4 linked regions of the Anolis sagrei genome follow. The main gene of each other region encodes a partner of the protein of the gene in region 4 in a complex. Links are inferred from orthologs where the notes say so. Each region holds a gene or a part of one and is shown on either strand. Other genes may lie near its edges. The genes, in order: PPP2R2A, TFDP2, E2F4 and RBL1.

Evidence for each region.
Region 1: the proteins of RBL1 (region 4) and PPP2R2A are in contact, whole or in part, in a cryo-EM structure (PDB 9C6B), measured with the Homo sapiens proteins. The link is inferred for Anolis sagrei from reciprocal best matches to the Homo sapiens genes RBL1 and PPP2R2A. Residues at the interface, in NP_002886.2 of Homo sapiens: Ser615, Pro616, Leu617, Met618, His619, Pro620, Arg621, Val622, Val625, Arg626, Ser629, Leu632; in NP_002708.1 of Homo sapiens: Lys88, Tyr178, His179, Asp197, Leu198, Met222, Glu223, Glu224, Leu225, Thr226, Glu227, Val228, Ser247, Arg278, Ser279, Phe280, Phe281, Ser282, Glu283, Ile284, Ser287, Tyr337, Phe343.
Region 2: RBL1 (region 4) and TFDP2 share a complex: the UniProt entries of both Homo sapiens proteins name them as parts of the DREAM complex. The link is inferred for Anolis sagrei from reciprocal best matches to the Homo sapiens genes RBL1 and TFDP2.
Region 3: RBL1 (region 4) and E2F4 share a complex: the UniProt entries of both Homo sapiens proteins name them as parts of the DREAM complex. The link is inferred for Anolis sagrei from reciprocal best matches to the Homo sapiens genes RBL1 and E2F4.

The regions. Positions count from the first base shown.
Region 1 is NC_090027.1:6,823,255-6,831,879, reverse strand, and holds the start of PPP2R2A (serine/threonine-protein phosphatase 2A 55 kDa regulatory subunit B alpha isoform), read right to left. Parts: upstream 3,733-8,625; 5' UTR 3,718-3,732; coding exon 3,591-3,717; intron 3,012-3,590; coding exon 2,934-3,011; intron 1-2,933. UniProt on the Homo sapiens protein: Substrate-recognition subunit of protein phosphatase 2A (PP2A) that plays a key role in cell cycle by controlling mitosis entry and exit. Involved in chromosome clustering during late mitosis by mediating dephosphorylation of MKI67.
Region 2 is NC_090023.1:236,981,287-236,989,163, reverse strand, and holds the start of TFDP2 (transcription factor Dp-2), read left to right. Parts: upstream 1-4,440; 5' UTR 4,441-4,512; coding exon 4,513-4,515; intron 4,516-7,877. UniProt on the Homo sapiens protein: Can stimulate E2F-dependent transcription.
Region 3 is NC_090028.1:21,145,373-21,153,287, reverse strand, and holds the start of E2F4 (transcription factor E2F4), read left to right. Parts: upstream 1-4,528; 5' UTR 4,529-4,611; coding exon 4,612-4,743; intron 4,744-7,915. Other genes in the region: SDR42E1 (short-chain dehydrogenase/reductase family 42E member 1), read left to right, coding at 1,093-1,232, 2,036-3,137. UniProt on the Homo sapiens protein: Transcription activator that binds DNA cooperatively with DP proteins through the E2 recognition site, 5'-TTTC[CG]CGC-3' found in the promoter region of a number of genes whose products are involved in cell cycle regulation or in DNA replication.
Region 4 is NC_090024.1:207,662,921-207,670,884, forward strand, and holds the start of RBL1 (retinoblastoma-like protein 1), read left to right. Parts: upstream 1-4,254; 5' UTR 4,255-4,326; coding exon 4,327-4,479; intron 4,480-7,964. UniProt on the Homo sapiens protein: Key regulator of entry into cell division. Directly involved in heterochromatin formation by maintaining overall chromatin structure and, in particular, that of constitutive heterochromatin by stabilizing histone methylation.

The sequences.
Region 1 (8,625 bases), on a different chromosome or scaffold from region 4:
TATGATTAATGGAATGCAATTCCAACAGAATTAGCAATGTTTTCTACTTAGTAAACACAGACTTGAGTAGGATGCATGTTTTCTTTTAAGGAGTGTTGGCAGGACAAACATATTCATGACTTCCTGTTACATAAACTACATGTAACTGCTTTCAAATATGTGGAAGAGAATACTCATCTCCATGCTGGATTTTGATTCAGTGAAACACAGTTCTTAGTAACTAACAATGACCACCTTTACAAGCAAATGGGTTCCCAAACCATAACGCACAGCTATTTCTTTCAATTTACCGTATATACTCGAGTATAAGTCGAGGCACCTAATTTTATCACAAAAAACTGGGGAAACATATTGACTCGAGTATAAGCCGAGGGTGAGAAATGAAGCTGCTACTGGTAAATTTCAAAATAAAAATAGGTAACAATAAAATTACATTAACTGAGGCATCAGGAGGTAAAATGGTGTTGAATATTTACATAAAATTGTAATTTGAGATAAGACTGCCCAACTCTGATGAAATCATTATTCTAACCTTCTTCAATATAAATGTATTTATGTATCCTTCCAACAATAACAGAGTAAAATAATGAATGTAATAATAATAATAATAATAATAATAATACAAAGTAAAGTAATGGAAATGCAATAATAACAGTAAAATAGTAAATGTAATAATAAAGTAATAAATGCAATAATAATAAAATATAATAAATGTAATAATAATCATAATAATAGAGTAAAATACTGTAAATGTAATAAAATACATAAAATAAAAATACTAATAACAGAATAAAAGAATAAATAGCCTTGACTCGAGTATAAGCAGAGGGGAGCTTTTTCAGCCTAAAAAAAGGGCTGAAAACTAGGCTTATATACAGTATTAGACATATTTTGTTTTAAGGAGACAATGGATCAAATGCAAAATAACCATTTGACACAGTGCATGCAGCATGAATCACAGAGCTTCTCAAAAACAAAGCAATTCTCAAACAAAGGGTTTTTTTAGAATAAGTTCTGAAAATGACTCAAGTCCTGGCTACCTAGTATGCATAGCATCCCCTAGTAATTATATTCCAAATGCATGATAGACTTTCAAGATTTGAAGGATACTATCAAGGATCAGACAACACTGGACTTGTCTGACTGTTTCTTGCTAGAAAAACATATCATTCAATAGTGAATGTGTACAGAGCAAAAATTTGTGTCTGTATTCATTTACTAAAAGGAAAATGCACTGACATCCAGTTCAATTGCAAACAAAGATAGTCTTCATCACAGCTGGCGACTACAAGTGTGATGTATTTAGAGCACAAACAACAACTCTGTGATCATGCAGATACCGCTCGATTACGACATGCAATGTTGAGAGATGATGGAAGTTGTAGTCATGGTATAAGGAGGATTTCTCAATCTTTGAGCTAAATGCAAATATCACAGCACCTGGGAGGCCTCATGCTCCCCGTTTCACATGGAGCACAGATGACACTAAAAACTGCTGTCCTACATTGAGTTGTGCCCCTCTCCTCATCATGTATTCTCCATCTCCCATGACATTACACCAAGCATTTAACTCCATATGCTAAAAATTGTACTGCAATTTAAAGTCTCCTCAGAAAATGTATACAAAGATGGGAGAAGCATTAAATATAGGTTAACTTGAAGAAAACAACATAACAGTTCTTCTGAAAAATAAATTTTACATAACTTGTGTGATGTTTCCACTCAGCATCATGTGTGTCAAACTGGGTGGCTTATTCAGCTATATCAGAAAGTTGTACCAAGTTACTGGCTATAAGAGTGTTGGAATCATAATCTAGGACCTTTAGAGATAAGCACATTGTGAAGGACTAATCTAACTACATATCCAATTTCTTAGAATATATTTGAGGATGGATGCGTTGTCAAAGGATGGATATTATCAGGATATATAGTAATATATACTGACATTGTACTATGCTAATAATATAATATATTGTATGAAAATATACATTCTAAGCCGCTCTGAGCCCCTTCAGGGTGAGAAGGGCGGCATATAAATGCCGTAAATAAATAAATAAATATTCTGAACACTTGCTGTTCACATATGGAGATAAGGAACTAAAACTTGGGTGAAACAAGGAGATTTCAAGAAATACTTAATAAAAGGGATAGTACTAAAATAATTTCACTGCTGATAATATTGCTCACCTAAAGACACATAATTAAGTAGCCTGATATCACATGGAGCAACGAGGTAAAAACCCAGGGACTGTATATAGAAAAGCTGCTGTGTGACGCAAGGTTCAAGCTTTCACAATTTACTGTTGACACAAGGAATACAAACTTGGGGTGACACAATAATAATAATAATAATAATAATAATAATCTGGAAAAGCTGACACAATATGAGGATTTAAACATCGAACTGCAAAGACTCTGGCACAAGCCAGTCAAGGTGGTCCTAGTGGTGATCGGCACACTGGGTGCAGTGCCTAAAGACCTTGGCCTGCACTTAAACACAATCGGCGCTGACAAGATTACCATCTGCCAGCTGCAGAAGGCCACCTTACTGGGATCTGCATGCATCATTCACCGATACATCACACAGTCCTAAACACTTGGGAATTGTCCGATGTGTAATCCAATACAACAGCCAGCAAAGTGATCTTGTCTGCTGTGGACTCATCTTGTTGTGTTTCAAATAATAATAATAAACTTTATTTATACCCCGCCACCATCTCCCCAATGGGGACTCGGGGCGGCTTACATGAGGCCAAGCCCAACAGAACATTACAATAAAATAAAACCAGAATACAGAACAATCAACACAGTAAACTAAATAAAACATGAGAATACAATAAACAATAATTTCAAGTAATACCTAATAAACTACCAGTACCAGAATCCTACTGCTGTTAATAATACAAACAGGTTAAATCAGATCTTGTTCTTACCTTCTGCTACATCATCATCCACAGCCCCTTTCACCTGAGAAAAACACCACTGAATGTCATTCCCGCCGCCACCGGCTCCTAGAAACAAAACAAAAGTTAAATAAAAGCTGGGCAACACCCTGGTTATTAAGCTTGACTGCACAATGTTAGCATTCCAGTCTGATACCCAGCGATTGTTGGCAAGGATAGGAAATGTAAAGGGAGCACCCACCACGCCCACAAAGGCGAAGAGTATTTCCAAAGCAGAAAGTTACTTGCAAGCTCTTCTTATTGTCCCTCAACACAGCCCACAACATTTTTGTCACTAGGGATGTGTCCAAATGAACACAGTCGCAATCAGTTTCTCTACAAAGACAGGTCACAACTACTCAACTTCATAAGCTGTCACACTCTGAAGATACACAACACACAATGCATGACTGCTCTTCTTACAAACCAAACTTTCTCTCACACACAAACTTTGGAACTTTACTTCTAAGTTACTAGAATCAGGAGTGAAGCAGCATAAGGGAACATTTTTTTAATTTGTTGACAACTTCATTTCTGCCATTTACAGAAAGTAGAACAAGAATAAAACTTAAGATTGTTGTTATAAAAGAAATCTATAATTCTGAAACTTGAAGAAGTCACCTCAGTTACAAATAAACTTGAAACTACCGTAAAAGATGGACCGGAGAGAAAGCTTCAAGAACATTCCTGCCCCGGCAGAAGGAAGGCGGTGAATCATTTGAACCTTCCACCCAAACATGCCAAAGACACGCCACCCATTTCTTGGACATGTCATTCGGAGCAAGTCATTGGGTAAGGCTCGTGGAGGAAGCTGAAAGGCAGTTATCAAAATGGAGCTTTCCCTGAATATTTCCCCTGAAAACGAAGATGTGTGTGTGTGCGTGTGTGTGAAAACAGCTGCGTAACCGTGGCATCTTGACCAAGGGGATGGAGCAAGAGAGGGAGGAGTTCCTCCCTTCCTTAAAAAAAACAACAACAGCAACAATCAAGCAACTTAAGAAAAAGTTCAAGCCAGAAGGGGAAGAGTGGTCACTCCATCGCCACACAGCCATCAGAGCACAGGAAAAGCGCAAACAATCCACAAGTGTTCTATTTCCATCTTCCTTTGTTACTTTGTGAAAAGAAAACGTTGCTCCCTATTTGGGCACCACGCTGAACTGGAAAAAAGGTATTTTACTTTGTAATTATAGTTCAATACACTGATTCAAAACAACCTTGCCGAAGAGGTAAACAAGGCCTCCTGAAGATTACAGTGTGTTTTCTATACATTTCAAATTCTTTTCTTCTTTTTTTTTTAGGGGGGGGTTTAAGACTGCATTTATACCAGGCATGGGCAAACTACCAGCTGTTAGGAATTGTGGGAGCTGCAGTCCTAAATACCCAGAGACCCAAAGTTTGCCAAGGCTTGATCTACACCAGGGGTCTTCAAACTTTTTAAAGAGAGGGTCAGGTCACAGTCGCTCAAACTCTTGGAGGGCTGGATTATAATTTGGAAAAAAAATTCCTATGCACACTGCACATATCTTATTTGTAGTGTAAAAACACTTAAAATAATACAATAATTAAAATGAAGAACGATTTTAACAAATATAAATGTATTAGTATTTCAATGGGAAATGTGGGCTTGCTTAAACTCTTGGAGGGCCAGATTATAATTTGGAAAAAAATGAATAAATTCCTATGCACACAGCACATATCTTATTTGTAGTGCAAAAACACTAAAAATAATACAATAATGAAAATGAAGAACGATTTTAACAAATATAAACTTATTAGTATTTCAATGGGAAATGTGGGCCTGCTTTTGTTGATTAGATAGGATTGTTGTTGTGTGCTTTCAAGTTGTTTCAGACTTAGGTTGACCCTGAGCGAGGGATGGATAAATGAACTTTGAGGGCTGTATCCGGCCCCCAAGTCATAGTTTGAGGATCCCTGATCTACACTATAAATTGCATCTACACTATTGATATTAGGTTCTTGTGGGTTTTTTCGGGCTATAGGGCCATGTTCTAGAGGCATTTCTCCTGTTTCGCCTGCGTCTATGGCAAGCATCCTCAGAGGTAGTGAGGATGCTTGCCATAGATGCAGGCAAAACATCAGGAGAAATGCCTCTAGAACATGGCCCTATAGCCCGAAAAAACCCACAAGAACCTAGTGATTCCAGCCATGAAAGCCTTCGACAATACTATTGATATTGTACTATGCTAATAATACAATATATTGCATGTATATATATCTTGTAAGCCGCTCTGAGTTCCCTTCGGAGTGAGAAGGGTGGCATATAAATGTCGTAAATAAATAAAAAATAAGCACATTGCAAACTGAATGTAGTTCAACAGCACTTGGACTACCATTGCTCTTTGCAATGGGATACTGGGAGTTAAAATTTTGAAAGGTCCTAAGCTTTGGGTTGCTGTGAGTTTTCCAGGCTTTATGGCCATGTTCCAGAAGCATTCTCTCCTGACATTTCACCCACATCTATGTCACGCATCCTCAGAGGTTGTGAAGTATATTGGAAACTATATTATAATAATAAATTTTATTTATACCCCGCCAACCATCTCCCCAATGGGTACTCGGAGCGGCTTACATGGGGCCAAGCCCGGACAACATGTTACAGCAAAATAAAACTAGAACAGAAATTATATTAGAAACTAAGGGGAAGAGGGGGAAAATGACAAAATACTAATTATAAAGAAATAAAGTATGTATAAGTAGATAAAAGGTGTGTGGTAGAGGTATACATAGTATAAGGTGTATGGAAAGTTTTAAAAAGATAAGAAATATGTTTAAAGATGTTTTTGATTCTTTTTTACTGTTAGATTGTATATAATATGACATACTCTTCTGTCTACGATGTTGTAAAAAGTGGGAAGAATGTATGCTTATGCATTTTGTTTGATAAATTTATAAATAAAAATTTTAAAAACTTCACAAAAAAAAAAAGAAACACAACCTCTGACGATGCCTGCCATAGATGTGGGCGAAACGTCAGGAGAGAATGTTTCTGGAACATGGCCTTACAGCCCGAAAAACTCACAGCAACCTAGTGATTCAAGCCATGAAAGCCTTCGACAATGCGTCCTGAGCTTTCTCTGCCAGAGTACTACACAAAATTATTACAACTCCCAGGATTTCGTAGCAATAGGCTGTGGCAGTCACAATGGTGTCAAACTGTGTTAATTTGACAGTTTAGATGCACTCATGGAAAACGGTTAGGGTGGTTTTGGACTAAGGACACTGGGAAAGCCGAGTCTGAATCTCCATTCAGTTGTGGAAAACAATTTTAGGTAAGCCACACTCTCTCAGCCTCAGAAGAAGCCACTCTGAATAAATGCAGGCAAATCCCATTGACGGATTTGCCTGCAGGAGAAAAATAACTCATGCAGAAAACGCGGGGTTTCTTTGGCAGTACTCACAACCTCCCTCCATTCAAAGCTTTCTTGGTGGAAAGATTGGAGACAAACACAAACCTCAACACAAACCTCAACACAAACCTCAACACAAACCTCAACACAATCTGGCCCATGTTGCCAGATTCTGAATCTTTGTGTTTGTGAACAGATTGCAAGGTAGAGAGGAAACTGAAGAAGGGTTTGCAGAAGGGTGGATCTTTTGCATTTTCAAACCATGCAAGCTCAACAAGCTGCAATTTCCTCACAGGTCTCAATCTCTCTGTGAGAAATCCTCCAGATGTTGTGTTGCATGGAAATGATGAACCCGGGTCAGCCATTCATACATGCTGCCCAATCTAAAACTCATTTTTTGCACCCAAAGCTATTACATGTCTTGTAAATCAACAAGCTGCAATTTCCACACAGGTTTTATTCTGTCTGTAAGAAACCACCAGCATGGAAACGATGGACCCAGGTCAGCCATTCACACATACATCCCAATCCAAAACCCGCACTTTGCAGCCAAAACTGTCAAGTGTCTTGCAAATCAACAAGCTGCAATTTCCACACAGCTTTCAATCTCTCTGTAAGAAACCCCCAGATTGCATGGGAATTATGGACCCAGGTCAGCCATTCACACATGCAGCCCAATCTAAAACTCGCTTTTTGCAGCCAAAGTTGTGAGTGTCTTGCAAATCAACGAGCTGCAATTCCCACATAGGTTTCAATCTCTCTGTAAGACATGCCCAGGTTGCATGGAAATGATGGACCCAGGTCAGACATTCACACATGCAGCCCAATCTAAAACTCGCTTTTTGCAGCCAAAGTTGTGAGTGTCTTGCAAATCAACGAGCTGCAATTCCCACATAGGTTTCAATCTCTCTGTAAGACATGCCCAGGTTGCATGGAAATGATGGACCCAGGTCAGCCATTCACACATCTAAAACTCGCTTTTTGCAGCCAAAGCTCTTAGTGTCTTGCAAATCAACAAGCTGCAATTTCCACAAAGCTTTCAATCTCTCTGTAAGAAACACTCCAGGATATGCCATGTTGCATGGAAATGTTGAACCCAAGTTAGGCATTCACACATGCAGCTCAATCAAAAACTCGCTTTTTGCAGCGAAATCTGTTAGTGCCTTGCAAATCAACAAGCTGCAATTTCCACACAGGTTTTAATCTGTAAGAAACCCTCCAGGATTTGAAATGATGGAAATGATGAACCCAGGTCAGCCATTCACACATGCAACCCAAGGTAAAACTCGCTTTTTGCAGCCAAACCTATTAGTGTCTTGCAAATCAACAAGCTGTAATTTCCAAACAGCTTTCAATCTCTTTGTAAGAAATACTCCAGGATATGCCATGTTGCATGGAAATGCTGAACCCAGGTTAGGCATTCACACATACAGGTTAATCTAAAACTCGCTTTTTGCAGCAAAAGCTGATGGTGTCTGGCAAATCAACAAGCTGCAATTTCCACACAACTTTCAATCTCTCTGTAAGAAACAGGTTGCATGGAAATGATGAACCCAGGTCAGCCATTCACACATGCAGCCCAATCTAAAACTTGCTTTTTGCAGCCAAAGCTATTAAGTGTCTTGCAAATCAACAAACTGAAATTTCCACACAGCATTCAATCTCTCTGTAAACAAAAACCCAGGTTGCATGGAAATGATGAACCCAGGTCAGGCATTCACACATGCAACCTAATCTAAAAGTCTTTGTAGCCAAAACTGTTAAGTATCTCGCAAATCAACAAGCTGCAATTTCCACACAGCTTTCAATCCCTCTGCAAGAAACTCCCCAGGTTGCATGGAAATGATGGACCTGGATCAGCCACTCACACATGCTGTTAAGTATCGTGCAAATCAACAAGCTGCAATTTCCACACAGATTTCAATCTCTCTGTAAGAAACTCCCCATGTTGCATGGAAATGATGGACCTGGATCAGCCACTCACACATGCTGTTAAGTATCTTGCAAATCAACAAGATACAATCTAAGTCTTTGTAGCCAAAACTGTTAAGTATCTCGCAAATCAACAAGCTGCAATTTCCACACAGGTTTCAATCTCTCTGTAAAATAACCCAGGTTGCATGGAAATGATGGACCCAGGTCAGCCCAATCTAAAACTCGCAGGCTGCATGGAAATGATGGACCCAGATCAGCCATTCACACACGCAGCTCAATCTAAAACTGGCTTTTTGCAGCCAAAGCTATTAAGTGCCTTGCAAATCAACAAGCTGCAATTTCCACACAGCTTTCAATCTCTCTGTAAAAAAAAAACCCAG
Region 2 (7,877 bases), on a different chromosome or scaffold from region 4:
GTGGCATCACTAAGGTTGGTGTCACCCAGTAGGTCACTTGTGGTGTCACTCCTTGGACCTCAGTCATATGCTGGGGGAAAAAAAATCTTTACAAGACACTTAAAAAACAGAATTACTCGTTTGACAACATAATCTTAAATGGGCTTACTAAGATGTTTGCACAATCAAGGGGATCCAAGCCCTATCGGATAAGTACTTTTTGTCCCTGTTATTGTTGAAGAGCTGCTACATCCATCTCTAAATGAAAAATTGTCTGAAACCAGTCTGAAATAATATATCCGTATGTGTGTGTGTGTACGTTGGCCACCAATAGATTCTTAGTGTCACATGTTATATTTAATTTTTTTTAGGTCTCTGAAGTACACTGGAACTGCTCTCTTCCATAGAAGAGAGGTCACAGCAGCACAGTTACATAGGGATGGAAGGACCAACTGAATTCCTCCACAAATCAGAGGGCAGCTCTAATCACATGAGATTAGGCAGTCCCGTTGGCCCCCCAATATGTGACAGGGGGAGATGCCAATTACATATAAGCAGGTTAACACCCTGTCCCTCCTTTGCTTGACCAATCCTTCTGCCCTCACTGCATAATGGGCCGGATAGGAAACCCCTTCCCCTTTAGCAAGGGTTTTTTCACCTACCTGCACTGCATCTTGATGGAATGGGAAAATGGGCTTTGGGTGGTGTCCTAAATAAGTCTATCCCTCTCAATGCAGATAATGATTTGTGGGGGGAAATTTAGTTGGTACCTTGGCACCTCTCTCCTTTTTGGTTGTAGGATTACCCCTGGAATGACCTCACTAGGTTCTGAGACTTGTGGGAAGGCTGGGAAAGAGATCACTCTTAGGGTTGGCTGGGACAACAACAACTTACTCTCCATTATAAAAACACATGCTTTAAGGAAAGGGATCCTGGGCTGGCCTTCCAGAATATGAACCGATAAGGGCATCCTATTGGACTGTCCCTCGAGATGAGGAAGTTGTCACAGAAGTGATACCTGTCCCTCGGCCGAGACTCACATCAAGTTGCTCTCCACCTTATAGAATAATCTCCAGAACAAATAAACTGAAAAGTTTAGGTTCATGAAATCGCCTTATTTCAGTCCAACTTTTGTGCTTGGGCCCTGTTATTTAGCTGTTGGTATTCAGTTACCACTTCCGCTCACCCAAATAAATGCACCAATTTTGATATAATTGAAAGTTGGGGATCATTTTTTCTTGTGCATCAGTCAAGCCAGGTCTTTTCCACTGTTCCATATTTTATCTCAAAATCCCAAGAACTAATATGTTTATGGATAGAAAACTTTTGGGGAAATTGTACTTTATTTGGAATTTTTGTCACAGTACATTCAGTTTTAAAAGTGCTTGTTCCTTTGAAAGTGAGAAGGACTGTATCAGAAATAGTAAAGGAAGCTCCTGTTGCACTTGCAGGGTTTTTAAAAAAATCATATTAGCATCACTACTTTGCATGATGACCAAAGTAGTACAGTATCCAAAGATATTAATGTTCTCCCACTTTTCATTCCTCCACCCCCACAGTGCTTGAAAATATTTTGAGAAACAAAGAATGTAAACCCACTCACATTTGGTATTGAGGGCATTTTTCAAAAGCATTGATTTTGTGTCTAGATGTGTATGTATGTGCAACTTCATGCATTACCACAGGGTTTTCTTAGGGAAGGAATAACCTGAGGTGGTTTTCCAATTCCTTCCTCTGAAATAGAGCATATGCACACTGTATTTATTGGCAGTTTCTCACCCAAGTACTAATCAGTGGTGACCCTAGTTAGCTTCTAAGATCAGACAGATCCGGTGTCTTTAGATACCAACTCTTAAAAATGGCATAGCTCTGCATTTGATTTGTTATGTCTCTCACCAGCTCAAGTTTCCTTTGAATGGCTACAAAGGCTGATGTGTTGCTGATGCAGTAAGAGGCATTCTTCTTTAGACAAGAGGAAAGACCAGTTTGGGTTTTCTTTGCAATGTAAGTATTTTACAAAACAGAATTGAGACCTTTTACTTCCAACAGCTTAGAACAGAATATAATAAGAGTGTAATGTTTGCAAAATATATTGTTCCTGTAATGTTGTTTATGAAAAAACTGTAGTATACTTGGGACAGGAGCAGGGATGAAGTTACTCTAATTAGTCACATGAATAGGAGTTCCAAATTGAACTACATCTACTGTTTTCCTTTCCAGATAGCTTAGGGTGTTAGTTTTGAATGAAAGGTACTGACTGTGGCTCCATGAAGGGAAAATAAAACAAAATAGTTAAAGCCAGAATTTTAGAGCTGACAAAGCATTTTGTCACATAAAATCACTAATTCAGAGGGAAACAAGAAAAAAGCATTACTAGCAATCAGTATGTGCAGAAGAAACAGTTTACTGGATGGTGTTGAGCATCTTAATTCTGGGGTTTTTTCCTTGGCTATTTGTGATTTGAAAATGTTGGTTCTGTCCTAGGAGCTTGGTTACTGTTGGCTCATAAACACAGCAGAGCATTCCATTACCTTATGGGTTATTATGATTCAGTGTGGGTGGCACCATTTGATGCTTGAATCATTTCGGCTGCAACTGCCATTAAGCTGGCTTACTTTTATGGGCAAGAAAATAACCTTTCCTTTTACTGTTCAGAAATGTACATTTGGTCTAATGTGCACTTACAGGAAGCAAGCCAAGTGTGCTTAGATCCATAAAGTATTTACTTGATTCATGAATTAAATGCATTTCTGATACAAAGTTTATGTAAGTTGTTGCAAATATAAGTTCTTAAATTAAAGGGTATTTCTCATATATTCTTTTTTTAAATTTAAAGATGCCATAGCTAATTGCAACATTTTATTCAGTTTGATAAGCTACCATAGGATGTCAAATGGTCAAAAAAATCAAGCCTTATCAGTTAAACAAGTCTCTGGGGGGAGAAAGGCGGGATTAAAATGAAGTAAATAATAACAATTAATAAAATACATTATTTTTATTTTAAAGTAGTAAATATCCTGAACAGCAGAGTTCTTGTACTAAATAAGTTAACTAAATTGTTTCCAAGTAACACTTCACTTTTTAATTTTTAATTGGACCCAGTATCAAAGCTTTCACTGGAGCATTCATTTGGACACATGGACAGATGCTTCCCGTAACCACAAAGATGGAATGAAACTTGTTCTAAAGCAGTGACTTTTGCTACTGATGTTCAGTTGTATTTTTATCTTAGATGAGCTGGAGATTGTCAAGCAAAATGTATTGTACTGCTAGTTTTTGCCCTGACAACACTTAGTGGGGATGGTTGATTTATTTTGTGTGTGTGTGTGTGTGAAAGGGAAGGAGTTCAGGCACCACTCCTACCTATGCTAATGAAGTACGTGATGCAGCAATACAAAAGGTGTCCCTCAGGAAATTTGAACAGGCAGTTCCCACTAAAAGAAATTTAACCAGATTTCACAAAGTTATATAATGTATAATAAATAAGCCTCCTGTTGTTGCTTTATGACAGCCACTTACTCCGAAAAAGGCTGCTGATCAGAGTTAAAATAAAAATGCTAACTGAAAATGCTGTATCACATCACTGTGTCTATAAGCATTGAGCATATCAATTTTTAAAAGCAGAAAAGCTGACACAAGAATTGAATGTGTGTTCCTCAATTCCAGGGAGTGGACTAGATGGCCCTTGTGGTCTTGTAACATATGTGGCTAAAAAACAGTGCCTAAGATTCTCATGGGGGGGTGGGGGGGAGAGACCTACTGATGTTTGCATATGGTAAATCAAAAATCACTATAAATCAACCATCACCACCAAAAAGTTGGAACACTTTAGTTCTAAAGAACTCACAGTGTAATTTGGGGAGGGGGTTGGAGGATTAAAAGTTTAATTCTGAGGGACACACAGTCTTTCCAACAAGGCGATCTTTCTAATAGAAATACATAGTGATCCAGTTGTGCTTGACCAAAAAAAACCCCATTTAAATCTACTGGCTTGATACCTTGACACTGTGTGGCTTTAATGTTAGAGGAATACCATTCTTACATTCAATACCATGCTCTGAATTCCAAACCTAGGCCCTGCGAATTGGGTAACTGCGACTAGATTCTATTTATCACTCGCATTTCAACAGACATTACTGAGAAAGTAGAAGCCAAAATCTACATGCAATGTTTCAAATCACTGAATTAAATCTACTTCAGACAGTTTCTACCTGATAACTTGGGTTTTTTTCAATGCCAAATCACTTTTCCTGAGTCCTAGAAAGAAGGAAAACTGAGATGTAGTAAGGAAAATTGAGATATAAATTAAATAAATAATTTGTTTCTTATTTGCTGTGATGGTCTCCTGAATAATATAGCTACTGGTATATCTAGAAGACAAAATATTTGTATAGTGGTTATGTGGTTATGAGTATAAGGAAATAAGGTTCACGTTTTGCTTTTTTTTAGAAAATACATTCCTGCCAGTGTCTACCATCGACTAAGATTTTGTCCAAAACATTATCATCAGTAAATTTAAATGTCAGACCCCAAATGGTAAGTACTGTTGCCCTTTAACAGCTTTTAATTAGTAGAACTATACAGAATAGCAGTTCTGTATTCACAGCTACAAATGTTCAGACACCTTTTCATAGGTTTCTTCATTATGGAAAGATATTGATGGACTTGTGTATTTTCTGGGGATAAATAATTGCCATATATTAATGTGTTGTGCTGCATGCCAGTACATAAGGGCTTCTGAAGCAAACATCAGAATTGGTACTTTATGAAATACACATTTCTCAATATGCTCTATAAAAAATTTATTTCAAATCACCAGTACAAGTACTGTTCCAAATACATGCAATTTTGTAATAGAACTGCTTTGTGCAGCTGTACTAATTGGTTAAACTAAGAAACAGTTGCACAATGTTTCCTGTTTTCCTCCTGCAATAGCTTCTTTGCTTAGCATCAACACATTCCCACTGTATACTTGATTTTTGTTAAAAATCACATTTCTGATAAATGCAGGTAATTGGTTTGTATCCAACAGTAGTAGAAGAACAAAATAATAATACACAGATATTTTACCATGCCTATTTTATCCAGTTAACACTTATTCTATATGTTACACAAGAGAGCCATAAAAAGATGTATGTGCACACTGATTTTTGATCTAGTAGCAGAAAAAAAACTTTATTTTTGTAATGGAAACAACTGTCCTCTACCATTTTTAGCATGCGCACGCGCACACACACCCTTGCATTTTGCATCCATAGATTTAGCCAACCATGGCTCAAAAATATTGAGAAAAAATCCCCAAAACAAACTTTATTTTTTGCCACCAGGCATTAACAGTGATGTGTAGCCATACCTTGCTGTAGCCTCCTGCCATTTCACATATCTTCAGGCTGGTACATGTTTGAGTTCTTCATCATTTTATATAAGGATACATAGTGTATATACTGTTATATACCAAAGTCTGTGGATGCTCAAGTCCCATTATATACAATGGAATACAGAGTACTTCAAAATAACGGCCCCAATTTCAAAACAGCGCAGTTCACAATGGCAACATGTTACAATTACGCAAACAGTTACCAACAGTTTAAAGAGTAATCAAGTTATCAAGATTTACTGACCATTTTATAAAAACACTATGCGCCCTCCACCTGCTTTATGGACAATATTGGGACAATAGTGGAACACAAAATGCCTTATGACTGAGGCTATGCTCTGTTTGTATACTGGGAGAGTAATCTTGCAGTAATAATTTGAAAAACTATACCTTTCAAGTGGTAAGAGTTTCATTCATGAGCAGCTTGCGTTTATAGTGATAGTGATTTCAAATTGGGTCCGTCAAGTCCATCCTGTATAATGGGACTTGAGCATCCACAGGTTTTGGTATAAACGGGGCTGGGATGGGATGGGGGGCTTCTGGAGCCAAATCTCATTGATTGCCCCTTGTAGCAGTCTTTGGGTACATGATGTAACCACCTAAATGAATTCCAATGTAGAAATATTTTATAACATAAATTAAATAAATATAATTATATCCAAAGTTATTGTTTACGATGCAGGGTCTTGTATGTAGTCCAACAGTATGAAGTCTTGATTGAGAGAATGGTCAGGTCTGAATTGCCCCCTTTCTGTGGTTACTCTGATTTTATACAAGTACACTGTGCTTTAAAATATGCTGTGTTCTCTCCTCCCTTCCCTTCCCCAGCACCACCTATGCTTCCTAGACGTATTTCTAGGGTGGCTGAGTGCATCTTTTTCATCCTTGCAATGCCTAGTTGGGGTTAAAATTGGATCTGCAGTAAAAAATATTCTCGGATCACCCCAACAACTGTCCCTTCTCTCAGTCCAACCACCATCCCAGGCACGATTGGAGAGGATGCCAGAGAGGGCCTTTTCAGTGGCTGCCCCTGGAACCTTCTCCTTAGTGAAGCCAGAATAGCACCCTCCCTGTTGTCCTTTCAGCAGCAGGCTAACATCTTTTCATTCCTGCAAACTTTTAAAGAAGAAAGCTTTTAAGTACGAGCCGGGAGATGCTGTGTGGTCATTTAAGTATTTTAATAGTTTTTAATAATTTTGTGTGCATTTAACTATTTATTTATTTATTTATTAAATTTATTTCTATCCTGCTTTATCTCCCCCCAAGGGTACTCAAAGCAGCTTAACATAAAAGCATCTGCAAAACCATTTAAAATATACAGATATGCGAACATTAAAACAGGATTAAATATAAACAGTATTTTTAAATTCCCAGTTAAAAACTATTAAAATAAATTCAAAGTTAAAAACCACAGCACCCCTGAATTGATCTTAAAAACCTTCATATTTAAAAGCCTTCCTGAATAAAAAGGTTTTAGTCTACTGCCAGAAGGACAGCAGGGTTCTCTGGGGAGGGGTTTCCAGAGTCAAGGGGTAGCCACGGAAAAGGTCCACTCTCTTGTACCCACCAATCATGCTTGAGATGGAGGTGGGACCAAGAGAAGGGCCTCTCCTGAAGATTTCAGGGCTCAGGCAGGTTCATACAAGGAGATGCGATCAGCCCAATAGCCTGGATCTGAACTGTCTAGAGCTTTAAAGGTCATAACCAGCACTTTGAATTGTTCCCGGAAACAGACTGGTAGCCAGTGAAGCTGCTGCAATGGGTGGGGGGGGGGGTTGTCTGCTCCCTGTAGCCAGCCTCAGTTAGCAGCCTGGCTGCAGCTCTATGGACCAGCTGAAGTTTCCGAGCACTCTTCAGAGGCACTGCCACGTAGAGCATGTTACAGTAATCCAGGCAGGATGTAACTAAGGCATGTACCACTGTGGCCAGATCTGGCTTTTCAAAGAATGAGTACAGTTGGTGCACAAGTTTTAATTGTGCAAACACCCTCGTAGCCACCACTGATACCAAAGTCTTCAGGTTGAATGCTGAATCCAGGAGGACCCCCAAACTGCAAACGTGTGTCTTTAGGGAAATGGTAACCCATCCAGCACAGGCTGAATCCCTATTTCTTGGTCTGCCTTTCGACTGACCAGGAGTACTTCTATCTTGTCTGAAGTAAGTTTCAATTTGTTTGCCCTCATCCAGTCCATTACTGATAGCAGGCATTGGTTTAGGGTCAGGACAGCTTCCTTGGCATTAGGTGAAAGGAGTAGTAGAGTTGGGTGGCATCTGCATATAGGCCACACCGTACTCCAAAACTCCAGATGACCTCTCCCAGCAGTTTCATGTATATGTTAAACAGCATGGGGGACAAAACGGAACCCTGAGGAACCCCACAGAGCAACGGCCATGGGTCCCCCAGCACCACCTTCTGGGTACGGCCCTCTAAGAAGGACCAGAGCCACTGTAAGCCCCCCACTCCCATCCCGGTGAGACAACCCAGAAGGATACCATGGCCAATGGTATTGAAAGCTGCTGA
Region 3 (7,915 bases), on a different chromosome or scaffold from region 4:
GTTCACATTTGGGCATACTGAGTATTCGTGTAGAGTTTTGTCCAGATCCATCATTGTTTGAGTCCACAGTGCTCTCTGGATGTAGGTGAACTACAACTCCAAAACTCAAGATCAATGCCCACCAAACCCTTCCAGTATTTCTTGTTGGTCATGGGAGAACTGTGTGCCAAGTTTGGCTCAATTGCATCGTTGGTGGGGTTCTGAATGCTCTTTGATTGTAGGTGAACTATAAATCCCAGCAACTACAACTCCCAAATGTCAAGATTCTATTTTCCCCAAACTCCACCAGTGTTCACATTTGGGCATATGGAGTATTTGTGTAGAGTAGGGTCCACATCTATCATTGTTTGAGTCCAAAGTGATCTCTGGATGTAGGTGAACTACAACTCCAAAACTCAAGGCCAATGCCCACCAAACCCCTCCAGTGTGTTCTGTTGGTCATGGGGAGTTCTGTGTGCCAAGTTTGGTTCAATTCCATCATTGGTGGAGTTCAGAATGCTCTTTGATTGTAGGTGAACTATAAATCCCAACAACTACAACTCCCAAATGTCAAGGTCTATTTCCCTTAAACTCCATCTGTGTTCATATTTGGGCATATGGAATATTCGTGCCAAGTTTGGTCCAGATCCATCATTGTTTGCATATTGAGTATCTGTGTAGAGTTTGGTCCAGATCCATCATTGTTTGAGTCCACAGTGGTCTCTGGATGTAGATGAACTACAACTCCCAAACTCAAGGTCAATGCCCACCAAACCCTTCCAGTGTGTTCTGTTGGTCATGGGAGCCCTGTGTGCTAAGTTTGGTTGAATTCCATCATTGGTGGAGTTCAGAATGCTCTTTGATTGTAGGTAAACTATAAATCCCAGCAACAACAATTCCCAAATGACAAAATCAATGTTTTTGAGTGAAGGACATGCATTGGGTTGTTAGGTGTCTTGTGTCCAAATTTGGTGTCAATTCGTCCAGTGGTTTTGAGGTTCTGTGAATCCCACAAACGAACATTACATTTTTATTTATATAGATTGTATTCTCTTCCATTTTCAATTCCGTGTCATTTCCTCTTTCCCTTTTCACCTCCCTTTGCAGGGGCTGATGGGAGGAGCCAACAAGTCCCCAGACGGGGCCAAAAGGCTGGACATGGCGGAGGAGGAGGACAAGGAGGAGAAAGAGGCCCGCGCCCCCGCCCGGGAGACGGTCCTCATCACCGGTGGAGCCGGGTACTTTGGCTTCCGGTCAGTGTGCCTAGCGCCAGGCAGTCTCTTCCTGAGGGAGCTCGGGCGACTTTCCTGGGCCCCATCCTCACATTCTGAAACAGCGTCATGTGCTCAGTTGAGACTAGGCATGGGCCAACTTGGGCCCTCCCTTCAAGTCTTTTGGACTTAGGTCCCTGTAGGCTGGACACAAGCTGTAATGTGTCCAGAGAAGGGTGACTAAAATGATCAAGGGTCTGGAGAACAAGCCCTATGAGGAGCGGCTTAAGGAGCTGGGCATGTTTAGCCTGAAGAAGAGAAGGATGAGAGGAGATATGATAGCCATGTATAAATATGTGAGAGGAAGCCACAGGGAGGAGGGAGCAAGCTTGTTTTCTGCTGCCCTGGAGACTAGGACGTGAAACAAAGGCTTCAAACTACAAGAAAGGAGATTCCATCTGAACATGAGGAAGAACTTCCTGACTGTGAGAGCCGTTCAGCAGTGGAACTCTCTGCCCCGGAGTGTGGTGGAGGCTCCTTCTTTGGAAACTTTTAAACAGAGGCTGGATGGCCATCTGTCGGGTGATTTGAATGCAATATTCCTGCTTCTTGGCAGAATGGGGTTGGACTGGATGGCCCATGAGGTGTGCAGTGTGGAATAAATGGAAATAGACACACCTGTTACGTTTTATACCTTGCTGTCAGCCACTTTGACTCTCCAATGGGGGAGAAAAGCAGGATATAAATAAATAAAATGGGTTCTGCATTTGCAGGAGAATCTCCCTGCTTTGATGAAGGGAGAGCCTTGGTCCTGAAGGTGGTTTCCCTCCCTCTTTGTGTTGCAGGCTGGGCTGCTCCCTCTCCTTGAAGGGCGTGGACGTGGTCCTGTTCGACGCATCGGAGTCCCCCCCAGAGCTGCCTGAAGGTGTGCGTTTCGTGCGCGGCGATGTACGCTTCCCCTGCGAGGTGGAGCAAGCACTCCGAGGGGTCACCTGCATCTTCCATGTTGCGTCCTTCGGGATGTCCGGGCGGGAACAGCTCAGCCGGAAGCGCATTGAAGCCGTAAACGTGGGTGGGACACGCAACGTCCTCCGTGCAGCCCGAGAGGCAGGGGTCCCGCGGCTGGTGTATACCAGCACCTACAACGTGGTCTTTGGGGGTCAGGTGGTGCACAGTGGGGACGAGTCCTTGCCCTACCTCCCCTTGCATCTGCACCCCGACCACTACTCCAGGACCAAAGCTCAGGCCGAGATGGAGGTGCTGGGTGCCAACGGGACACCTCTGCGGGGGGCTGGCCGGGGGGTCCTGCATACATGCGCCTTGCGGCCAGCTGGCATCTATGGCCCCGGAGAGCAGAGGCACCTGCCCAGAATTGTCCGTTATGTGGAGCGGGGATGGTTCCGGTTTGTGTATGGAGACCCCAAGAGCCAGGTGGACTTTGTGCACGTGGACAACCTGGTGCAGGCACACATTTTGGCAGCAGAGGCTCTGGGGCCCAGCAAGGCGCACCGGGCAGCTGGACAGGCTTACTTCATTTCCGATGGCCGGCCGGTCAACAACTTTGAGTTTTTCCAGCCACTAGTGGAAGGCCTGGGCTACCCGTTCCCCACGCTCCGCCTCCCCCTCTCGCTGATCTACTTCTTTGCATTCCTGACAGAAATGCTTCACTTGGCAGTGCGGCACCTATACAACTTCCAGCCGCTGCTCACGCGCACTGAGGTCTACAAGACCGGTGTGACCCACTACTTCAGCCCAGAGAAGGCCAAGAGGGAGCTGGGCTATGAGCCTCGGCAGTACAGCCTTGAGGATGCAGTTCAGTGGTTCCGGTCCCATGGCCACGGGCGGAGGGTGGGCAGTAATGCAGCATCAAAGCACTGGCTCTGGTGCACGGCGGTGCTGCTCGCCTTGGCTGTGGCGGTCGTCCTTTCGTGGCTCCCAAGGGCTTAAAGCCTCCAACAGAACGAGGAGATACTAGCATTGATGCTGATTCTTTGATGTCAAGCTACTTTGAGTCCCCTTCAGGGGAGAGAAAGCAGGGTGTAAATAAATATAATAATAATAATAATAATAATAATAATAATAATAATAATAATAATAATAATAACAGCATTGCCCAATCCTGTTGGGTCTTTGCAATGGTGCCAAAATACAAATACAGGCTGAGCGGCGCTCATCCTATTATGACATTGAATGTTTGCCGATATCTGTTGTAAACTACCCTGAGTTCCCTCAGGGAAATATGATGGGATATAAATAAAAATATATATATTGTTCTTGTTACTGTTATTATTATCACCCAGAATTCCAAAATCAGAAATACGGTTGAGCCTCCACGTTTACAGGTTGGTGGTGGATTGGATTAATTCATCAAAATATTTTCCCCAAAAATTGCTTGGTCCTCCTTCCAAGGCAACTCTGTGTTCAATTTCCACTGCGCATTGTCCATAATGTCATGGTGGAGGATCTAGAGATCTATAGGGATCTCTAGGTCAGACCTTTCCAAACATTTCACCTTGCTTCGACGTGTATCATGATGTGATACAGCAATTTAGTTTTACTAACGAACCAGACGTTAAGCTAACCCCCTGTGATACCCTCATATGCATCAGTTGTTGTTTTTTTAAAAGTATTTTTATTGTTTTTCCATAGTTACTACTATGGAAATATGCATCAGTTGTAATCACAAAATGTATGAGGGTGCATGCGTGCGCATATATATACACACATACATACAAACATAAGGTGTGATTTATTGCTTATTTTGCATTAATCCAGAAGCTCCCCATTACATTTGTGCGACAGACATCCCTAAAATCTGCAGGAAAGCAACCAGGCCTATCTGTAATGATCCAAAAAGCTCTAAAATTACAACAGCAAAACAACAGAGGAAAAACAATCAGACCACTTTTATTAGCATTTAATGGCCTGGCAGTGCCTGGGGCAATCTTTTGTTGAGAGGTGATTAGATGTGCCTGATTGTTTTTCCTCTGTTGTTTTGCTGTTGTAATTTTAGAGTAGCCAGATTTTCTTCATTTTCATGGTTTCCTCCTTTCTGTTGAAATTGTCCACATGCTTGTGGATTTCAATGGCCATGAAAGCCTTCGACAATACACTGTGGAATACTTTCACGCATGCGCAGTCCCTGAAAATCCCTCGCGGCTCAGAGGGGACTGCCTGCGAAAAGCGCGGGCGCCCAGCAGGGGTCGCTGCGGGGCTGATGTTCCTCTCGAGGCGAAGGGGCGGGGCCTAGTGGAGAGGGGGCGGGGTGAGGCCTCGTGGAGGGGGCGGGGCCTCGAGCTCCACCTATCCCTCGCCTCCCTTTCTGGCCGCCTCCCATCATGCCCTGCGGTGGCCGGAAGCGGCGGAAGGGTCAGCGCGAGGGGCCGCAGCGGGATCCCGGAAGCGGCGCGGGGCCGGGCGGATGGCGTCGGAGTCGGGGGCCCAGCCGCCGGGGGGAGGCCCGAGCCGGCACGAGAAGAGCCTGGGCCTCCTCACCACCAAGTTCGTGTCTCTGCTGCAGGAGGCCAAGGACGGCGTGCTCGACCTCAAGCTGGTGAGGGGAAGGACGGCGCTGATCAGGCAGATCAGGGCCCAGCAGCGGATGCTCTGGCCCGCTTTCTTTTCCCTCCTTGCGGGTTCCCCCTCTCTCTTGCCTCCCCTTCAGAGGAGGAGGAGGAGACCTTTCCTTGTCCACACAAAGGGCCTGACATAGAATCATAGAATCAAAGAGTTGGAAGAGACCTCGTGGGCCATCCAGTCCAACCCCATTCTGCCAAGAAGCAGGGATATTGCATTCAAATCACCCCTGACAGATGGTTATCCAGCCTCTGTTTAAAAGGTTCGAAGCCTCCACCACACTCCGGGGCAGAGAGTTCCACTGCTGAACGCCTCTCACAGTCAGGAAGTTCTTCCTCATGTTCAGATGGAATCTCCTCTCTTGTAGCTTGAAGCCATTATTCCGCATCCTATTTATTTATTTATTTATTTACTGTGCTTATAGACCGCTGTTCTCAGCCCTGGGGCAACTCACAGTGGTGTACAACATGGAGAGAATAAGGTGCAAATTACAAGAGAAAATCTAATAACAAACTAGCAATATCAAAACATCGTCATCAACAACATCCACAATCTCAATATCAACAATACAAAAATACCAATATCGTTTTCCATTGTTCCATTCCTGTTGTCATTGCCAATTATTACACTTCTTGTTCGAACGCCTTCTCGAACAGCCACGTCTTTAATCTCCAGGGAAGCAGAAAACAAGCTTGCTCCCTCCTCCCTGTGACAGAAGTTCCAGTTTCCCCTCCCCCAGCCCACCCTTGCCTCTCTAGAGGCGCAAGGTAGCAAGACAACACTAGACAATATACCAGACACACTCACCGATTCTGTGATGTATGCTTGCTCCACGTACTGAAGGGCATAACGCTCGGAATTATTCAGGTTCCACCTATAGAATCATAGAATAATAGAGTTGGAAGAGACCCCATGAGCCATCCATGTCCAACCCCTTTCTGCCAGGCAAGAGAAAACAATCAATGGTTGGAGGAAGATTCGGAAGAAGCAGGAAACAAGCTTGCTCCCTCCTCCTCCTCCCTGTGGCTTCCTCTCACATATTTATACATGGCTATCATATCTCCGGTAACAGCGCTCCATGCAGTCATGCCGGCCACATGACCTTGGAGGTGTCTACAGACAACGCTGGCTCTTCAACTTAGAAATGGAGATGAGCACCACACCTCAGAGTCAGACATGACTGGACTTAATGTCAGGGGACTACCTTTACCTTTATCATATCTCCTCTCAGCCTTCTGTTCTTCTGGCTAAACATGCCCAGCTCCTTAAGCCGCTCCTCATAGGGCTTGTTCTCCAGACCCTTGATCATTTGAGTCGCCCTCCTCTGGACACATTCCAGCTTGTCAATATCTCTCTTGAATTGCGGTGCCCAGAATTGGACACAATATTCCAAGTGTGGTCTAACCAAAGCGGAATAGAGGGGTAGCATGACTTCCCTAGATCTTGACACTATGCTCCTATTCATGCAGACCAAAATCCCATTGGCTTTTTTTGCCGCCACATCACATTGTTGGCTCATGTTTAACTTGTTGTCCACGAGGACTCCAAGATCTCTTTCACACGTACTGCTCTCAAGCATCCCTGGCACTCAGGGCCCTTCCACGCAGCCCCATAACCCAGAATATCAAGGCAGAAAATCCCACAATATCTGCTTTGAACTGGGATATTTCTCTCCTTATTTATTTTTTTAAGTTATTATTATTATTATTATCATTATTAACTTTATTTGTACCCCACAAACATCTCCCGAAGGACTCGATGCGGCTTACACAGGCCAAGGCCTCAGTAAAACAACAGCATAACAAATACATAATAAAACTCATAAAGCAACCAAAAACATAAAAGCAGTAACAATAAAAACAATAAAACAATACACCGTGACACATTTAAAAACTAGGGCCAGGCCAAATGTAATGGGTACAGTTAAAAAGTGCTGGATATGACAGGTGAAATGTAAGGATTCTAGGGTAGGTGCAATGTGCAGACAGTCTTAAATCTCTAATAAAGTGCGTTTGGGACATGATGCTGGAACGTTTGGGTTCATATACGGAGATGCGGTCACGCAGGTAGGCAGGTCCCAAACCGTTTAGGGCTTTGTAGGTTAGCACCTGCACCTTGAATTGGGACCGGAAAATGTATGGCAGCCAATGGAGCTCCTTAAAAAGGAGGGTTGACCTCTCTCTGTAAGGAGCACCAGTTAACAACCTGGTCGCCGCCCGTTGGACCAGCTGAAATTTCCGAGCCATTTTCAAGGGCAGCCCCACGTAGTCCAATCTAGAGGTGACCAAGGCATGGTTCTCAACCTGTGGGTCCCTAGATGTTTTGGCCTTGTAACTCCCAGAAATCCTAACAGCCGGTAAATTGGCTGCGATTTCTGGGAGTTGTAGGCCAAAACACTTGGGGACCCACAGGTTGAGAACCTGTGGGTCCCCAAGAATACAAAAATCCCTAAAACAGTGGTTCTCAACCTGTGGGTCCCCAGATGTTTTGACCTTCAACTCCTAGAAATCCTAACAGCCGGTAAACTGGCTAGGATTTCTGGGAGTTGTAGGCCAAAACACTTGGGGGCCCACAGGTTGAGAACCACTGGTCTAGATAAGCTTAGGCCCCTTCCACACAGCTGAATAAAATCCCACAATAACTGCTTTGGATTGGGATATATGGCAGTGTGGGCTCAGATAAACCAGGGCCCTTCCACACAGCCCCGTAACCCAGAGTATCTGCTTTTAACTGTGTGCCCTTTCACACAGCCCTATATCCCAGAATATCAAGGCAGAAAATCTCACATTATCGGAGTGTGGACTCAGATGCACCAGTTCAAAGCAGATATTGTGGGATTTTCTGCCTTGATATTCAGGGATATAGGGCTGTGTGGAAGGACCCTGGGATATCTGGCAGTGTGAGCTCAGATAACCCAGGGCCCTTCCACACAGCCCTATAGCCCAGAATATCCGCTTTGAACTGGGATACAGTATTTGAGTCCACACTGCTATATATTCCAGTTCTAAGCAGATAATGTGGGATTTTATTCAGCTGTGTGGAAGGTACCCTATCTGCAGGTGCCACAGATTTCCAAGCAAAATACAGAACTGCAGCTGTGGTCATGAGCTCCTGAATGGAAAAGAGCAGGTATTCTTAATGTTTAATAT
Region 4 (7,964 bases):
TGCCTCACAAAACTACAAACTCCCATGATTCCATAGCATTGAGCCATGACAGCTAAAGTGGTGTTAAACAGCATCAATCTTCCAGTGTAAACACATCCCTGTATGCTCCATTATTGCTTATAAGTTTGTCAGTAATAAGCACCCTGTAGGCTCGTCCAGATAGGTAATTCAGGTTAACATGAGAGGCACATATCAACTTAAATCCTTGGTGATATAAGGTTTCCTCAATCACATTTTACACACCACACAATTATAACGCTTTGATACCGCTTTGCAGCAAGTTCATGCTATGGAATTCTGGAATGGGTTTCGTTATTTTGAATTGCATGTGACTGTATACTTCTTACACAGGAGTGTAAGCAACTGAGTAATTACCAGCTACTTTCTGTACTAATATTTATTGTGTCAGCGAATAGAGAATACAGTTATAATGTATAAAAAAACACAAAGTTTTTTGTTGTTCATTCGTTCAGTCGTCTCCGACTCTTCGTGACCTCATAGACCAGCCCACGCCAGAGCTCCCTGTCGGCCGTCACCACCCCCAGCTCCTTCAAGGTCAGTCCAGTCACTTCAAGGATGCCATCCATCCATCTTGTCCTTGGTCGGCCCCTCTTCCTTTTGCCTTCCACTTTCCCCAGCATAATTGTCTTCTCTAGGCTTTGCTGTCTCCTCATGATGTGGCCAAAGTACTTCAACTTTGTCTCTAGTATCCTTCCCTCCAATGAGCAGTCGGGCTTTATTTCCTGGAGGATGGACTGGTTGGATCTTCTCGCAGTCCAAGGCACTCTCAGCACTTTCCTCCAGCACCACAGCTCAAAAGCATCGATCTTCCTTCGCTCAGCCTTCCCTAAGGTCCAACTCTCACATCCGTAGGTTACTACAGAGAATACCATGGCTTTGACTAGGCGGATCTTTGTTGCCAGTCTGATGTCTCTACTCTTTACTATTTTATCAAGATTGGACATTGCTCTCCTCCCAAGAAGTAAGCGTCTTCTGATTTCCTGGCCACAGTCTGCATCTGCAGTAATATTTGCGCCTAGAAATACAAAGTCTGTCATGGCCTCCACGTTTTCTCCCTCTATTTCCCAATTGTCAATCATTCTTGTTGCCATAATCTTGGTTTTTTTTTATGTTTAGCTGCAACCCAAACAACAAAGTTTAAAACTTGGCATTATACTAAATTTCCTTTGACAGGAAGCTAGCCACTTGGAGTGCCACTAGTGTTGCAGTAAGCAGGTCCTCCAATGTGCATGTGGCAGGGATCAAACTGCATGGTAGTAAGAGGTCTGTAGTTTGCTCTTCACACTTGCAGGTTGTGGACTCTGCTTTGTAGCCCTATTTCTTAAGGTTGGCTCTGCATCTTGTGGTCCCAGAGTGCATTCAGTGCCTTCCAAGCCAACCAGTTTTTTGTGTGCTTCGGAGGAGGTTTCTAAACCAGTATCAGCCATTGATTGACTTCCGGGTTTAACCTGCCACTTTTGGACTCTTGCTTGTTGAGGCATTTCTGCGACTATCTCTGTAGATCTTAGAAAGCTATTTCTTGATTTAAGATGTTGGCATGCTGGCTGATAATCTGTACAGAGGATGGGCCGGAGATGTCAATGCCTTGGTCCTTTCATTACCAGCTGCTACTTTCTGAAGGATATCATGTGATGCAGTACCGGCTAAACAGTTATTTACTTACTTAGGCGATCCCTTGTTGTCCGAGTAGGATAATCCTCCCGGGTGGGTCCATAGGTGACTATGGAGCCCTGTTCTTGATCTGCATCATCTCCCGCAGTGAGGGCATTGGTTTCCAGGTGGAAGGTGGTCCCGGTCGGGGTTGGCTTGACGCGCCTTCCTCTTGGCATGTTTCTCTCTTTCGCCCTCCATTCATGCCTCTTCAAATTCTGCAGCAGTGCTGGTCACAGCTAACACAGCTGACCACAGTTGAGCACGGCTAAACAGTAGACAAGAGAGATTTATATATCTGTGGAAAGTCCAGGGTGAAGAAAAGAACTGATCTATTGGATGCAGGTGTGAATTTTGCAATTAAGCACCTTGATTAGCATTGTAAAACCTTGCATCTTCAAGGCCTAGCTGATTGCTTGGGAGAATTTTATTTATGTATTTATTTACAGTGTTTATATTCCACCCTTCTCACCTTGCAGGGGATTCAGGGCGGATTACAATGTACATACACATGGCAAATATTCAATGCCATAGACACACAACATATATACAGACAGAGGCTATTTAACATTCCAGGTTTTCATGAGGGTATTCTAGCCACCAGGGGAGCTGTCCCTTCACAGACCATTTTGTGACACTGATGAAGTACTTCCTCATTCTTTGCATGCTTGCTGGAGATTTTTATGGCCTCGTAAATTAGTTAAATTTGCCTCCCCACATAAGCAGTACTTAAATTTCCTACTTGACAGATGCAACTGTCTTTCGGGCTGCAAAGGTCAACAGCAAGCCACACAAAATTGGTCGGAAGCTCACTCCGACCCAAGCTGGCTTTGAACTCATGACTTTTTGGTCAGTAATGATCTTAATGCAGCTGATTCCCAGCTAGCTGCGCCACAGTCCTGGTGCACCCTTTGTTGGGAGGTGTTAGCTGGCTCTGATTGTTTCGTGTCTGGAATTCCCCTGTTTTCAGAGTGTTTTTCTTTATTTACTATCCTGGTTTTAGTTTGACTTAACACCTCCCAACAAAGGATGCCCCCAGGCAGAAATCGGCCAGGTCATGAAGATGCAAGGCTTTTTAATGCCAATCAAGGTTTGTTTGTTTTGTCGTGTCAGGAGCTACTTGAGAAACTGCAAGTCGCTTCTGGTGTAAGAGAATTGGCCATCTGCAAGGACGTTGCCCAGGGGACGCCCAGATGATTTGATGTTTTTATCATCCTTGTGGGAGGCTTCTCTCATGTCCCTGCATGAGGAGTTGGAGTTGATAGAGGGAGCTCATCCGCGCTCTCCCCGGATTTAAACCTGCGACCTGTCGGTCTTTAGTCCTGCCAGCATGGGTTTAACCGGGATTGTGGCGCAGCTGGCTGAGTGACAGCTGCATTAAGATCACTCTGACCAAAAGGTCATAAGTTCGAAGCCAGCCCAGGTCGGAGTGGGTTTCCAACCAATTGTGTGTAGCCTGTTGTCAACCTTTGCAATCCGAAAGACAGTTGCATCTGTCAAGTAGGAAAATTAGGTACCACCTTAAAGTGTGGGGAGGCTAAATTAACTGATTTATGAGGCCATAAAGAAGACTCCAGCAAAGTATTCCAGCGGGGAAGCATGCGGGGAACGCGGAAGTGCTTCATCAGCGTCGCAGATGGACGATGAAAGCGACAGCTCCCCTGGCAGCCAGAAAAAGTTAAATAGCCTCTGTATATGTTTGTATGTCAAACATTGGCATTGGATGTTTGCCATATATGTGTACACTGCCATATATGCCATATATGTGTGAGTCCCCTGTGGGGTGAGAAGGGCGGAATATAAAAGCTGTAAATAAATAAATAAATAAATTGACACACTGCGCCACCGGGGGCTCCAAGCCAGGCTTGATGATGCAAGGCTTTTTAATGCCAATCAAGGTGATTGATTGCAACATTCACACCTGCCTCCAACAGATGAAGAGTTTTTTCGCCCAACCTGGACCTTCCAGATATATATACCTTCCCTTGCTTCGTTGCCAATATACCTCACAACCTTTGAGGATGCCTGTCATAGATGGAGGCGAAACGTCAGGAGAGAGTGCTTCTGGAATATGGCCAACCAGTCCGGAAATCTCACCGCAGCCCATTGTACTAATGTACTTTATCTACATTAGTCTGTTGTCCCTCCAAAAAAACACGAGGATAGCCCACATTTTATTAAGTTTCCAACCCTTCAACACCATCCCTAGAGACTAGGCTTGGGCAATCCATGGTTCTAAATGGTTCTAAAGTACTTACAAAACTAAAGTTCTGGTGATGAAAATTTCAAAACTCTAACAAAACTCTCAAAATTTCATTATAAATGGCAGTTCCTAATTGGTTCTGTCATAAAAATCGCCAATAATGAAATAAGAATTACATTTTGAAAGTTTTGTTAGAGTTCTGAAATTTTCACCACCAGAACTTTAGTTTTGTAAGTACTTTAGAACCATTTAGAACCATGGGTTGCCCAAGCCTACTAGAGACTATTTTGGAGCATGCTGCATAGAACTCAGCTCAGAGCGGAAGAGGAGGAGCTCAGGGTAGGCCCCGCCCCCGGTGATGACGCGCAGTCCCTTTTCCCGCGTTTGGCGCAAAGGCCTGTGGGGCATGGCTTGGGCTGAGTGGAGGAGCCGTGAGGGGATGCTCGGCCGCCATGCCGCGGGGAGGAGGAGGCCCGGGCCCCGCTGTGCCATGCCCCGCCCGTGCCGCCCTCGCCCACCTCTGCCAGGAACTCAACCTGGACGCCGGCAGCGCCGCCGAGGCCCTTCGGGACTTCTCCGCGCTGAGGGGCACCTACAGCCTCGAGGTTCGCTCGGCCTGCCTCTGTCAAGGCCTCACCGGGCCTAGCGCCTCATCACTGTCTCTGTCTCAAGCTTCGGCCCGCCCTCCAGGTGTTTTGGACTTCAACTCCCACCATTTCTAACAGCCTCAGGCCCTTTCCTTTCCCCCCTCAGCCGCTTAAGCGGCTGAGGGGGGAAAGGAAGGGGCCTGAGGCTGTTAGGAATGGTGGGAGTTGAAGTCCAAAACACCTGGAGGGCCGAATTTGACTCTCTTTGAATATTATCAAATTATGTCTTTATTTGGTACTAGCCGTCCCCTGCCACGTGTTGCTGTGACCCAGTCAGCTGATCTAGAAAATAAAGTAATTAGAAAGAGTTGGTTTCTAATACACTATAGTCTTCCCCTGCCACGCATTGTTGTGGCCCACATGGGGTTTCTGTGTGGAAGGTTTGGCCCAATTCTGTCATGGGTGGGGTTCAGAATGCTCTGTGATTGTAGGTGAACTATTAAATCCCAGCAACTACAACTCCCAAATGTCAAGATATATTTTCCCCAAATTCCATCTGTGTTCATATTTGGACATATCGAATATCCGTGCCAAGTTTGGTCCAGATTCATCATTGAGTCCACAGTGATCTCTGGATGTAGGTGAACTACAACTCCAAAGCCAAAGGACTTTGCCCACTAAACCCATCCAGTATTTTATGTTGGTCATGGGAGTTCTGTGTACCAAGTTTGATTCAATTCCATCATTGGTGGGGTTCAGAATGCTCTTTGATTGTAGGTGAACTATAAATCCCAGCAGCTACAACTCCCAAATTACAAAATCAATTTTTTTGAGTGAAGGACATACATTGGGTTGTTAGGTGTCTTGTGTCCAAATTTGGGGTCAATTCATCCAGTGGTTTTTGAGTTCTGTTAATCCCACAAACGAACATTACATTTTTATTTATATAGATTTAATTTCTTTATGCTTATGGGTCAACAGTATTTCTTGCCGTTTCTTTGTCCGTGTTGATGTGGAGAGTGTCTGGCTTGCCCACTCTGGAACATGCAACATATAATTGTCCTAATTTAGGAGTCCCTTTCAAATCTATGATACTATATCTGTGTGTGCGTGTGAATCATAGATATCTATATCTATGGCTGGATGGGTCTTTGTCAGGATGGCTTTGATTACGTTTTCTTGCCCTGGTGAAGGGAGTTGGACTGGATGGCCTTAAGTATGGGGGTTCTGTGTGGAAAGTTTGCCCCAATTCTGTCGTTGGCGGGGTTCAGCAAGCTCTAAATCCCAGTAAGCACAACTCCCAAATGTCAACATATATTTTCCCCAAATTCTATCTGTGTTCATATTTGGGTATATGGAATATTCGTGCCAAGTTTGGTCCAGATCCATCATTGTTTGAGTCCACAGTGCTCTCTGAATGTAGGTGAACTACAACTCCCAAACTCAAGGTCAATGCCCACCAAACCCTTCTAGTGTTTTCTGTTGGTCGTGGGAGTTTTGTGTGCCACATTTGGTTCAGTTCCATCATTGGTGGAGTTCAGAATGCTCTTTGATTGTAAATCCCAGCAACTACAACTCCCAAATGACAAAATCAGGGTTTTTTTGAGTGATGGTCACTCCTTGGGTTAGTTGGTGTCTTGTGGCCAAATTTGGCGGCAATTAGTCCAGTGGTTTTTGAGTTCTGTTAATCCCACAAACAAACATTACATTTTTATTTATTTAGATTTGAGATTTCAACGTCGTTCTCTGTAAACCGATAATGTGCTTTAGATCATATTTACATCCACTTTGTTGATTTGGATATTTTTTTAAAAATTCAGGCAGGTTTTTCAAGAAGGAGGTTTCTACGTTCATGTCAGGGAATGCTGTGGTTTTATATGTTTATGGATTTAAGGTGGCTGTGATTGTGCAGCAGGTCAAATTAAAATTATGTTGTATATCATAATTTAAACTATTTTAAACAACATCACTCATCATACTTCCAATGCATTTACACTACTCAGACTCTTTTATTATGTTAAATGTGTATGATGAGATGTATTTATGATAAAATGGTTATTATTTAAGTTTATCAGTTTATTGATTATTATTTTTGTTGATCTGTTTTGCTTGTTTGATATGGCATTGAATGTGTGCCATTTTTGTTCTGGAAACTGCCCTGAATCCCCCTGGGGAGATAGGACGGGTTACAAATAAAAATTATTATTATTATATGCCAACCTAGGAGTTTGAAAACATGCAAATGTGAGTAGATCAATAGGTACAGCTCCGGCAGGAAGGTAACAGTACTCCATGCAGTCATGCCGGCCACATGACCTTGGAGGTGTCAATGGACAGTACTGGCTCTTCGGCTTAGAAATGGAGATGAGCACCCCCACCCTCCGAATCGGACTCAACTGACATGTCAAGAGGAAACCTTTACTTTTATGGATTTAATCTGAATTGTTTTTAATATGAATAATGTATAATTCTGTTTTAATATTTGTATATTTTAAATTGTGTGCTGATGTTTTTATGTATGGAGTCCCCTGCAGGAGAGATAAATAGGGGTATAAATATATAATAATAATAATAATAATAATAATAATAATAATAATAATAATTTTCCCTTGGGTTTTGTTGGTGTTTACTGTGGTGTGTAACAAATCTTAAATTAGCACATCATAAGGTAACATAATAAGAAGAACCTTTATTTTTAACTCGCCCTCTCTCCCTGAAGAGACTCAGAGTGTGTTACATAAACAAAATGAAACGACAAACATTCAGTACCGTGTGCAATAATAAAATGAAGATATTTAAACGATTAAAGCAGGTTGAACGACTTAGGCTAAAAGCATATAAATCGATCCAACAAGTATCGTAACTAATAGAATTAAGCCGTTAAAATCTGTATAAAATATATAGCTCTTCGATAAAATAGCAGTCATTGTTGTTGACAACTTCGTCCACTAGAATGGAGTTGATGTATGTTATTCCTCCTCTCAATAAGCTAATGAACAGAAATAGGTTTGTAGTTGTTTCTTGGGGGAGAGGGAGAGGGGGTTGTTTTAATTTCTTTCGAAAGGGAGTTCCAGAGGGATAAGAGTGATCACAGAGAAGGCCCTCTCTCATTCCCACCAGTTGTGCTTGAGGTGGGTGGGATTGAGAGGAGGGCTCCCTCCACTGATTGCAGGGTCCAAACAGATTTGTAGACAGGGATGCGGGTTGCCAAATACTCTGGGCCTGAACATATCCTAAGAAGAAGCTTTTGATGGTAATCATTGGGAAAGCTGTCTTTAGAAGAAGGTGTTTGGATGTTTTTGAACCTGCGACCTTTCGGTCAGCAAGCTCAGCAGTTCAGCAGCTTAACCCACTGAGCCACTGGAAGCTCCAGTGTTGACTTTGCTTAAGTCCAAAATCATTGTTTTGGAAAATGTTTGTATATGAAAAGAAATATATAAGAAAAAAAGGAAGTGAGATTTTAACCTATACATTCAAATCTGCAAAAGTTAAATCCACAAACG